Linked DNA regions of Coturnix japonica. The protein of the gene in region 1 interacts with the protein of each later gene in a biochemical or structural test. Links are inferred from orthologs where the notes say so. Each region holds a gene or a part of one and is shown in the gene's direction. Other genes may lie near its edges.

The links.
Region 2: of the proteins of TOP1 (region 1) and TOPORS, one has a biochemical effect on the other in vitro, tested with the Homo sapiens proteins (2 studies listed by BioGRID). The link is inferred for Coturnix japonica from reciprocal best matches to the Homo sapiens genes TOP1 and TOPORS.
Region 3: the proteins of TOP1 (region 1) and NKX3-1 form a complex in vitro, tested with the Homo sapiens proteins (2 studies listed by BioGRID and IntAct). The link is inferred for Coturnix japonica from reciprocal best matches to the Homo sapiens genes TOP1 and NKX3-1.

The regions. Positions count from the first base shown.
Region 1 is NC_029535.1:4,190,322-4,193,832, forward strand, and holds part of TOP1 (DNA topoisomerase 1), read left to right. Parts: intron 1-366; coding exon 367-481; intron 482-1,124; coding exon 1,125-1,252; intron 1,253-2,374; coding exon 2,375-2,469; intron 2,470-3,014; coding exon 3,015-3,164; intron 3,165-3,485; coding exon 3,486-3,511. UniProt on the Homo sapiens protein: Releases the supercoiling and torsional tension of DNA introduced during the DNA replication and transcription by transiently cleaving and rejoining one strand of the DNA duplex.
Region 2 is NC_029547.1:59,568,160-59,572,152, forward strand, and holds the start of TOPORS (E3 ubiquitin-protein ligase Topors), read left to right. Parts: upstream 1-1,186; 5' UTR 1,187-1,238; coding exon 1,239-1,400; intron 1,401-2,741; coding exon 2,742-3,993. UniProt on the Homo sapiens protein: Functions as an E3 ubiquitin-protein ligase and as an E3 SUMO1-protein ligase. Probable tumor suppressor involved in cell growth, cell proliferation and apoptosis that regulates p53/TP53 stability through ubiquitin-dependent degradation.
Region 3 is NC_029537.1:2,308,703-2,312,947, forward strand, and holds the start of NKX3-1 (homeobox protein Nkx-3.1), read left to right. Parts: upstream 1-1,438; 5' UTR 1,439-1,579; coding exon 1,580-1,793; intron 1,794-3,269; coding exon 3,270-3,643; 3' UTR 3,644-4,245. Other genes in the region: NKX2-6 (homeobox protein Nkx-2.6), read left to right, coding at 1-13.

The DNA.
Region 1 (3,511 bases):
GAAAAGATGACTGTGAGTTGACAGACTTTGAGAAGCCATCCCTAACACGTTTGGCTCTGTGGGAGCACTGTGGTGATATAAGCACGCTCTGTAGAATGGGATAGGCATGTTTCTACCTGCTGGGAACCAAAACCTCCACAGTGAAGAAAAGTTCTATGACCATTCGTGGTGCTTGATACTAGTCTAATACTTACCAGTTCTTTGTTCACTTTTCTTGTGGCTTCAGTGATGTTTTGGCCATTGGGTATCAGGTCCAAGTACATGAGCTATGCTTCTGCTGTGAGCTGTATCATCATCATCAGCGTGTCCAGAGATGTCCGTACTGTAGTCAATTCTAATTCTGTTTTCTCCTTTCTGCTTCCTTAGACCAGTATCTTAAATAAACATCTTCAAGACCTTATGGAGGGACTGACAGCCAAGGTATTCCGTACTTACAATGCCTCCATCACGCTACAGCAGCAGCTCAAGGAGCTCACTAACCGTAAGTCCTGTCCTTGCAGCTTTGAGGGGGACAGTTCCCATCCTGCAGAACAGGCATGACTTAACCTCCCAGCTGCCTGCCACTCCCTGGTTGCTGCTCTCCTAGTGTGGGAATGGTTGAACAGCCCAGTGCTGAGGCAGCGCAGGGCTCATCTGTGAGCACACTACAGTTTGCCTGCTAGGTTGTGCCTGGCCCTTACCAAATCTCCACTTGTTTCCTGTTAACTGTAAAATGCCATAGGTGACAGGCAGTCTCTATAAACAACCCCATGGTTCTTGGCTGCTCACTCAGACACACTGAGAGCTGCGAGCTTACACTTCAATGACTTTACAAAGTGGACATGTTGGAGGAAACTGAAGCCCAACAGTGCCTCGAGCAGTACTCCACTATTGAGCATGGTTATGCTTCCCTTATCTCTTGAGAGACAAATGTTGTCTTTGTTGCTGTTGAAAGAGTTAAGGTTTGGAATGGAAGTGTTCAGGCTTTTAGCACTTCGATTAGAATGTAGTGTTGAGACTGTCCCATCAGAGGGCAAGGTCATTCCTGCATTGATTTTGAGCTTGTGGAGTTGTTGGGAAGTGCTGATAGGGGCTGCTGAGTCCTGTAGGACATGAGTTGTTCACCACTTTCTTTTACTTTGCAGCGGATGATAACATCCCAGCGAAGATCCTTTCCTATAACCGTGCCAACAGAGCGGTTGCCATTTTGTGTAACCACCAGAGGGCTCCACCGAAGACCTTTGAGAAGTCCATGATGAACCTGCAGAGCAAGGTACCCCCCAACCCTTGGGTTGGGGCAGGGCTCCAAGTGTTGTGTCCCAGGAGTTATGTTTCCTTTCACTTGAGGTGAAATGGAAGCAGAGCCTGTGTTTCCCTGTCAGGAGTTGGTTAGTGCTCCATCAGGTGGGCCTGCTTGGAGAGGCAGACTCCAGAAGCACAGTGTTGTGCTGAAAGGGCCACCTTTGAGCTCTAGTACCCTTACATTTGTAAAGACCATGACCAGACCCTTTTATTCCATTGCTTATCTGATATTGAGTTCTGCTGCCATCAAAATTTTAGAGCAGCAGCCTAGTTCTGATTTGTATCCCCTGAAGAACCCAGAGTGGGCACTTACTCCAGTTGTGTGAATCCCAGGCCACTGTCAGTGCAGGCTGCATATGTGACACATTGTACCCCTCTGACTTGACCTCTTCCTTCGCAAATTGTTTCTGGTGGAGGTTGTGAGGTCCAAAGGGGATAGGTCTGCTTCTGGTCTGTCTTTAGAATAACCTTCACAGTCAGGACTTCTGGTTTGCACTGCAGTGACCCCTGCTTCTGTAACACCTAACATGGCTGCCTTCACCCTAGATCTTAGAGCCGGGGGAATGTTTAAGGGGGATTGGCTGAAGGGGCTGCATAATGCTGAATCTCCCCAAATCCTAATTTTACCAGTGGAGAACTGCTTGAAGCCGTAATACTTTTCAGCCTGAAAGATTTGGGGGCAACAACAGATCCCTGTGGAGGGAAAAGGGATCATTCTTCCATGGTACTTTCAGAACTGGTACTGGTGGGATACATTCAAGATAGACAAGCTGCCTAGATGGGCTGTTGGCAGGTCCCTTTGCCTGCTTCATTGTAGCTTTATTAGAAGGCTTCCAGGAGCTTTCTGCCAGCACGCCACCTTGTCTTTGGCAATGACTGGAACCCTGTTTTCCAAGGGGAAGTTCTCACATCTATAGCATTTGCAGTAAACTGAAAAGCTAGTGGCCTTGTTGTTCTGCAGAAGTGCACCTGAGTGCTGATAAATTCTGAACTTGGTCACAAACTCACTCCTTTGGTCCTGCTGCCCAGGGGTGACTGCCACAGTTGTCTGCAGCTTGTTGACAGTGCCGCCCTCTGGTTTTGCCTCTCCTAGATCGATGCCAAGAAGGAGCAGTTAGCTGATGCCAGGAGAGAACTGAAAAGCGCCAAAGCTGATGCCAAGGTCCGGAGGGATGAGAAGTCTAAAAAGTAAGGCTGGTACTACTAGGCTGTGCAATGCTCCCAGTACCTCGAGCTCAAATTGGGTGCTTCAGCCCTCTGTTCTGTTTCCCCAGCCTGTGATCCAATTGATTTGGGAAGACTTTCTCAAGCTTTCTTATCCCCTCTTTCTTCTGTGCATGAAGAAATGGCCTTCAAGCCGTCTGTGCTCTGCAGAGTAGTCACAGGGCTGCTGGGTTAAGGGAGCTCTGAAGGCAGAATCACAACATGACTATTACAGAGGGATAGGTGGGTTGGTTTTAAAGTGGGTGTAGCATCAGTGTAGTTGAGGCTGTTGCTTCCAACCCTTTAAAACAAAACTACTGCTTAGGATTTCTGTGCTGCATCTTTCAAAATGTCAGTTCTTAATTGCATGTGCTGAGTGTTTTGTGTCACCATCTCTGCTGACACAACTGCCTTTTGAGGCTGGTGGCATTGCTTACATGGAGCAGAGTCCCTTTGCCTTCCCACAGCACTGCTGTCTGAAGCCCAGCAGGGCATTAGGCATTAACTGTTTTTTCCTCCCTCACCCCCAGGGCAGTGGAGAGCAAGAAGAAAGCAGTACAGAGGATTGAGGAGCAGCTGATGAAGTTGGAGGTTCAGGCTACAGATAGGGAGGAGAACAAGCAGATCGCCTTGAGCACCTCCAAACTCAACTATCTGGATCCTAGGATCTCTGTTGCTTGGTAAGTGTCTGGGCTGTGCAGAACTGCTCCTTCACGTGCGTGTAATCCTACAGTCTGTAGGCAAGGGCTGTGGATGCGAGCAGCGCCCTTGTGCTGCCGAGGAGGTCTGCCTCTTTATGGCCTTCCCTTCTGTCTTCATGTGGTTTCAGTGGATCTCTTGGGCCAGGTTCCACGTGCCAGTCATGGCCAGCTCTATGCTGAGAGGGGATGGGTCAGAACGTGCAGGGTGCAGCAATGGGAGGCTGGTCCTGCTCCTGTAATGGAGCTGCACCACGAGAGCCCGTGCTGGGCTGACACTTAACAGCATCTCTTTTCCTGCAGGTGTAAGAAGTGGGGAATTCCTATAG
Region 2 (3,993 bases), on another chromosome or scaffold:
GTCTCAGGTGCAGTAACTGGCACAACCAGTATGAGTAAAGCAAAAGCAACTGCCAGCACCAGGACTGCTGATCACAGCATATATCTGGTATTGGCAAGCCAAAGTGCTTCAGCATTACTGTCAAACCCCATGAGGAAATATATCTGCAGAGGAATGTAATTTGATAGCAAACTTTCAGCTTGGCTGGCTGTTGATAACTCTACCCTGCAAATGACCAAGGAAACAGATGGGTAGAGAGGCCTGTGTGGGTGTGAGGGGAGGAATGGAGTATCTGAAGGATGACAGCAGAAGCACACCTGCCTTTGGGATGACTCGAGGGTAGTGAGTATGAAACCAATGAACACGAGCTCTGACAAAAAGGACTTGCAGGTACTGGTACATGGCAAGCTGGATATGAGCCAGCAGTGTGCTCCTGCAACCCAGAAAGCCATCTGTACCCTGGGCTGCATCAAAATCAGCACAGCCAGCAAGTCGAGGAAGGTGATTCTGCTCCTTTATTCTGCACTGGTGAGACCTCACCTGGAGTACTGCATCCAGATGCGGAGGAGAGACGTGGATCTGTTGGGAGTGCAACTAGAGGAGGGACACAGAAACGACCCAAGGAGTGGAACACCTCTCCTATGAGGACAGGGTGAGAGCTGGGGCTACACACAGACGCTGTAGCAGACTGCAGCCTCGAACACGATGTAACAAACAATCAATGAGCGGATTAAAGCTTCCGTGTCCTTGTTTCTTACAGCAGCTGAACCTTTATTCGCGGTGTTGGCCAAGCAGCTCCTCCCATTCTCCGAAGCTCCCTCGGTGTCCGCCCATCCCGCCGTGCTATGGCAGCCGAGGCACCGATAGTTCGCTCTGCAGCTGCCGTCGCGCCGCCTCCCGCGCCCCGTACAGCACGTAGCCCCAGGAAAGCAACACCAAAGCGGCCAGCACCTACGAAACCAACAGTCAGCACCAGCCTCAAGCTGCCTACCCCAGAGCTGCCTATCCCAGACCCTCGCCCCCCACCCCACGCACCAGGCGGTAAAGCGGGCGCGGATCCCGCCGCTCCTGAGGCAACATGGCGGGCAGCCGGCCGGAAGTCCACTACCCGCTGCTTCCGCACGGCACTACGGTATCATCAGGTAGAGCGGAAGTGACGTATAAAACCATCGACCGGTGTTGTGACGTCATATGGCGCCGCCCCGCTGCCGGGGGGTGGGGGGGGGACAGTTCCCTTGGCAACGCCACTTCCGCCGGCGATGTCGGAGGCTCCGCTTGGCGTGGCGAAGGCCGCGCGGCAACGCCGCCATCCCGCGGGGGACGAGCGGCGGGACGGGGCCAACAACGTGTGCAGCCGGTCACGGCACGGGCTGAAGGCACCATCGGGCCGGACTCGAGCTCGGAGCGAGGGCTCGGCAGAGGTGAGCAACCGCGGTTGTCGGCCCAGCGGAAGGAACGGGGTGGGCCTGGGTGGAGGAGCGTGTCCGTGTGGTCTGTGGGCACCGCGATCAGGGGGTGCTGTGGGGACTTGGGGAATCAAACTATAGCCCGACAGATAGAGAGCAGGTGTGGTTAATGCGCATATGGGGCATCGCTCCTCCTAACTTGCACAGCGTAGGACAAAAGCTTGGTACAGATATAGGCAGAGTTAATACATAATTAATAATTTTCCCGGAACCACAGAATCACAGAATTATCAAGGTTGGAAAAGACCTAGAAGATCATCTAGTCCAACCATTACCAATATTTCCCGGCTAAATTCGTATACTTATTCATTATTTTTCCCAAAAAATCTCTTAGCATACGGTCCCTCCCTCTTGCGCATGCGTCATGAGCAGTTGGGGGTCTCCTGGTGGTTGGTAGATGAAGGCTCATCGTCTTCCTGGTGAAGGCTTGTAGTCTATCACGCTATAAACTTCTAACCCTGTAGGGGAGAAGCCCTTGAGCCAGTTCTAACTTGCTTTGTCCATTGGTCACTTACACACTAAATGTTCTCAGAACACTTCCCTTTATGTCCTCCACCCCCCCTCCCCCCACTGTCCTAATCCCAGCTTGTTGCCATCCCCGTTCTTACAGCAGCCTCCATATATTTGCTTCTGTAAACTGTTTTTACCCTTCATTTCTGTGAACCATCTTTTACTCTTCAGGAAGCAGCGCAGGCATTTGTCTGCAGTACTGGTCCCCCACATAGCTTCAGACTAGGTGGATTAATGCTCAGTACTGCCGACAGCCTGGGGGAACAAAGGGGCTGTGGGTCTAAGGGTGGGTGCAGGGGTGACACCTGGCTGCAATATCATCCAAGCAAGAACACTTCTGTGCATTCCTGGACCACTCTTCTGGTCCAGCAATACGTACAGGGTGCACTCAGCGCTGCTGGACCAGCTAAATGCAAAGTGTTTTCAAAAGATAATTAACTTCTCCCATATTTCATATCTTAAGTGCTGGTTTCTTTTGGTAGTGTGCTTTGGAGGATTCTGTGTGAATCCTAATCTTACTGATTGTGCCAAAGTGGTGAGTAGGGGGAAGACACCAGCATTTATAGGCTCCATTTAAAGATGGCTGCACTGGAAAGCCTGATTTTTTTAAAGTGAAGAGAAGCAAGCAAAGCAGTTAAGTTGTACTGCTTCTCTGTTTCGTGTTCTCTCACAACTAATGCTGGCGTTTTTAACCTTATAGCTGACCGTTGCATGTTTCTGTGTATAGACTTAAACGCTTCTTTCTCTCAGGAAGAGTAATGATCTTTTTGTCTCTTTCTTTTGCAGAACACAACTAATGCAGCCAAGGAGTTTCCAGAAGACAGCAGCTTTTTGCCAAAAGCTAGCAACAGCAAGCTGCACCAGACCATGCCAACAGATGCCTCTCCTGACTCTAAGTGCCCCATTTGCTTGGACAGATTTGACAACGTTGCCTATCTAGATCGTTGCTTGCACAGATTCTGCTTCCGTTGTGTTCAGGAGTGGTCAAAAAACAAAGCAGAATGCCCACTCTGCAAACAGCCTTTCTTTTCTATTTTCCATACAGTTCGTGCTGAAGATGATTTTAAGGAATACATACTCAGACCTTCAGAAAATGGTTCTTTTGCCAGCCCTGATGGCCGGAGATTTCGTTACCGTACCACCTTAACGAGGGAACGCCGCACCTCCTCTTACCATAGAGGCAGTTCCTCTTCTCGAAGGACGCTGTCCCCTCCAGATAATGGGATTTTGTTTGAAGGGTTGTCCAGCCAACCTGTGCGGCAGAGAGATGGAGAGATTCAGCAGATGATAAGGAGGCTGGCCTCACGTAGGCAGGCTAGTGCAGAGGGCAGATCTCTGCGGCAGATCCAAGAGGAGGACATGATAAACTTCCGCAGAGCCCTGTACCGCACTGGTGTGCGTGTTCGTAGCATTCAGGATGGTGGCCGCTATCGAGACATTTCCGCAGAGTTTTTCCGCCACAACCCTGCTTGCCTACACAGGTTGGTTCCCTGGCTGAAGCGAGAGCTTACAGTCTTGTTTGGTGCCCATGGTTCTTTAGTTAATATTGTACAACACATCATCATGAGTAACGTGACCAGGTATGATCTGGAAAGCCAGGCTTTTGCTGATGATTTAAAGCCATTTCTACTGAATCGGACTGAACACTTCCTACATGAATTCATCAGTTTTGCCCGATGTCCTTTTAACTTAGAGGCATACGATCAGCATGCCAATTATGACTGTCCTGCGCCATCGTATGATGAAGGAAGCCGCTCAGACTCATCAATTATTACAATCTCTCCAGATGAGGCAGATCTTCAAGGGCCAGAACACAGTTCATCCGTGTCTGGGGTTGGTCAGGCCCCTTGGGACGATGAAACTCCAGGGCCTTCATATTCCATTTCAGAAGAGGTTCGTGCCACTGCAGCTTCTCCTCTGGAGATGTCAGAAAGTTCTGATGAGGATTCTGCTAGGAAAAGAACCACACTGCATCCTCAGTTACAGGCTGGTGTTGACTCCAATGAGAGTGACTCTTCATCAGACAACTGTGTTATTG
Region 3 (4,245 bases), on another chromosome or scaffold:
GCTCACACCATGAGCTTGGGCTCAGCACCATTTGGGATGTGGCCCAGGAAAGGGATGGGGGCATCCAAAGCCGTAATGGACAGCAGGATGTGGCACATCCATCCTCACCATCCAGCCCAAGGAAAGGAACTTTTGGTGCTGAGGATTTGGGGACCCCAGTGCCAGGGACGTTTATTTATTAGGACATAATCATGGAGCCCATCCCACCCCATAGGGATGCCCCTGTGGGATGCATAAGGATCAGATGCTGCTTTTCTTGCTAAGGGAACAGGGTCTATGCACACCACTGCGCCTTTGCTTTTCCATGAGCACTCTATTTAAGGCTTTGAGTTCTTCTCGTCTTTTGGGATATTCGTATTTCTTAATGACTTACAGGCACAGCCCAAATTAGAAACTGCCCACCTCAAAATGAGGCAGATCTCTTCCCACAAAACCCAAATCAGTCAAAATGTAATGCAATAAATGGCCATGAGGGGGTCCCCGGAGCTGAAAAACCCCAAACCAATGCTTTTGGACCAATGTTATGGGTTATTCTGCAGTCAGCATTGAAAGGAAAAGAGGACTGAGCCATGCATTGAGGACAGACCTATGGACAGATGAGTTGAGCACACGGGCAGCTCCAACATCACAGAGATTTATGGTCCAGCTGCAGGAAAATGCAATGAGCATCACTGGAATAAAAGGACTTGCTGGAAAGTGGGATATTGCCCAAATTCTGGGTGGTTCCCAGGTTTCATTCATGTGTTTTCAAATGGAAAGATGCATGTTCTGCAATATCACACCATCATGGCATAGAACAACCCATGTTGGAAGGGACCCCAAAGCTCATTGAGTCCAACTCCCTACTTCACCCAGGGCTGCCCTACATCAGAATGCAATATAATAACACATAACCTCATGACACAATATTCTGCAAACCTATTGAGTTTTTGTTCTTGAGCTTTTTGCTCTGTTGTTTGCTTGTTTGGTTGTTTGTTTTAATTACTCTGAGCATTACCATCATTATATTGATTTCACATCAGTATTGCTCTGCAACTCATGGTCTACAACAGTGGGGAATCAGTCTGGGGTTTGGGGTTGATTTCACCCCCACTGGGGTCTGCATTCCCCATTGAGCTCTAGGGATTGCCCTGGATATAAATCACATCCAGAAGTGCAGCATTCAGATCATCATCCCACTGGGATTAGGGTCGAGATGCAAAAGGTGCTCTGCTCACCCACAGCACCCATCCAAAGTGGCACCATCATATCCTAACAACCCTATTTTGACACCTCCCAAACCCTGCTTTTACCCCAAAAAGATGAACACCCTTTGGGTATCTTGCTCTTAGAATTAAGAGGAGAATAAAAGCCATGGGGTTACCCCAGCAGGGTTCAATGGGGATGGGTGTCCTGAGCAAGGCAGCAGAAGGGATTTGCTGTGCTTCAGCAGAAATCCTGCAATGCTGGGACACCAGCAAAGGGTGTAGACACGTCCCAGTCTCCAATCAGGCCCTGGAGGTTTGGCCATGGGCCCAATAAATGCTGAGCTGGAGGGTGGGGAGGCACTGAGCCTGCAGGCAGCTGGAGGAGGAAGAGGATGAGCACTGGGGTGCTGAGCCCTGGGGGGCACAGAGCCTCCAGCAGCCCCCAGCAGACCTCGTCCAGACCTCGGACGTCCTTCCTCATCCAGGACATCCTATGGGATGGGGTTGAAAATGGGGCACAGATGGATCAAGGTGGGATACCAGAGGATGGAGAGCAGCAGGATGGCCCTGGAGTGTCCCCAGCACAGCCCCACGATGTGAATGAAGGTAAGGGGGGGGTGTTGTGGGATACTTACCCTTAGAGCAGGATGAGGGTTCAGCTTTGAATTCCTCTGACCTAAACAACCCATGCATTCCCAAGTTACTCAGGCTTCAAATGCAAGGAGCATTGAGAGCAACAGCAACTGCATGCAAAGCATTCTGCAGGCAATTCAGCTAACTCAAAGCACAGGAGCAACCTCCAACTTTGGTTATTAAAAAGCCTAGAGGATGCATTTCTGCAATAGCAAGCTTAAGATTCCTTTTAATGCAAATGCAACCCTTGGTGCAGCTGTTGGGTGCTGCTGCTGCTGTACTTACAGTGCATTGATTGCAGCTCACTGTTGCACTTGCTGCTTGTTTTCCTGCATGCTCAGCACCAGCTGCAATGCTTTGCTCCTGCCTGTTGCACTGCAGACTATGTGTATATGCTGGTTCTCAGCACCAGTTGCAACGCTCTGCTCCTACCTATTGCATTGCATATAATGCGTGTTATGCACATCAGCCTTACTCCTATAGAAACAACCCCAGCAGCACCTCCTTTTAGCATGCAGTGGCTAAACCTGCAGAAGCAGCGTGCTGCAAATCGCATGCAATTGCATTAAAACTCAGATGCAGTGCAGCTTTGAGCTGTGCAATGGGAGCAGCTGAGCTGCAACATCCAATAAGCAAAGCTGAGCTTGCTAAGAGAGACCTTGCAAGGGGAATCTGGGCTCTCTGTGTCGCTTCTGTTAATAGAAGCTCCTATATAAAAGTGAATAAAGGGCTGGAGAGGTTTGCACAGCTTACAGGTGATGCTGTAAAAATCCCAATGGCACCTTGTATGCAACAGCAGAGCCTCGAGATGTCACCAGCAATGAAAAATGGCCCTTTTGGGGGTTGCTTTTTCCTTGTAGGAGCTAAAAGAGGGGGTTGTTTGGGAGAAAATAGCTCCCTTGGATGAGATTAAGTCTATCAAGCAGAGAAATCACTGTGTTGGAGGATCTCCAGGGTGGTGGGGAGGTTTTGCTCTATAGGAAGGGGTAGGAAAGGGGAAAAATAAGTAGGGAAATCAGAGGTTTGGGTGATGGGAAAATGAGAAAACAAGTGATTGGGGCGATGAAAACAGAGGAAATAAGTGATGTGGGTGATGAAAAGCAAGGAGAAAACGTGATTTGTGAATATTTTGCTCTGTGGAAGTGAATGGAAAAGGAGAAATGTGAGTAATGACAGAACAAGTGACTTGGGTGATGAAAATGGAGGAAACAAATGATTTGGGTGAGCAAAAGTAAGGAGATAAGGGGTCTGGGCAACTAGAAAGCAAGGAGGAAAGTGGCTTCTGAATGCTTCACTCTATGGAGAGGATAAGAAAGAAAGAAGTGAGGAAATAGGCAGTCTGGATGGTGAAAATACTGAGAGAAAAAGTGATTTGGGTGATGAAAACCCAAATAACCCAGAGTTTGGGGCAGTTCTCAGTGTGTGATGCTCAGCCCTCTCCCCTTACAGATGCTGATAACTCCCCATGCAGCCATGATCCACCCCAGAAGGTGCTGCCCAGACCCCCCCGGCCAGCAAAGCGCTCACGGGCAGCCTTCACCCACAGCCAAGTGTTGGAGCTGGAGAGGAACTTCAGCCGCCAGAAGTACCTGTCAGCCCCTGAACGTGCCCACCTGGCCCAGAACCTGCAGCTGAGTGAGACACAGGTGAAGATCTGGTTCCAGAACCGCCGCTACAAGACCAAGAGGAGAGCGGGGGGCTCCAGCCTGGAGGTTGGGACCACTCATAAAGCATCTATTCTACCCCCAGCCCCACTGCTGGCACTACATGGGGCTGCTCGCTGCCTGCCCTGCCTCTGTTACTGGAGCCCTGCTGTGTGGTGAGAGCTGTGCATGGTGTGTTTTTTAGCCCACCCCCCTCATGCCATGGTGCCCTTGGCCATGTTGATTCAGAGATGTCGACTTCGAGTGTCCTCTTGTGCAGTTCCAGCCTCTGTCATCGTGAGAGTTTTAGCCAAAGAAATCAGAAATGATCAAAAATTAAAGATCCAGATTATAATTATTATTACTATTATTATTGCTATTATTATTATTACTATTATCAATAATAAATCCCCGAAGCTTTTACTAGGCTCAATCTGCAGCAAAGAATCCCAGGCGATGCTCAGCACCCTCTCATTGCATCACCACCCTTTCTCAGTGCCAGGCTTTTAGCCAGAGAAACAAAAAGCCCTACAAACTAAACATCCTCAAAGCTTCTAACAGTGATCAAACAGGGCACTGTTTTGGGGGCAGAAAGCAAGATATGATGAGTGCCTGTAAAAACACAGTCCCCCATCCATCCCTCTGCTTATACCCCCAATTCTTTGCCCCCCATCACTGATTGGGTGAAGCACAACAGCTCACCCCATACACCAGCTGTTTCATCTCAAAAAATATCTGCATTTCCACCTGCAATCCATCAATTGCAAATCTCCCCCAAGGAT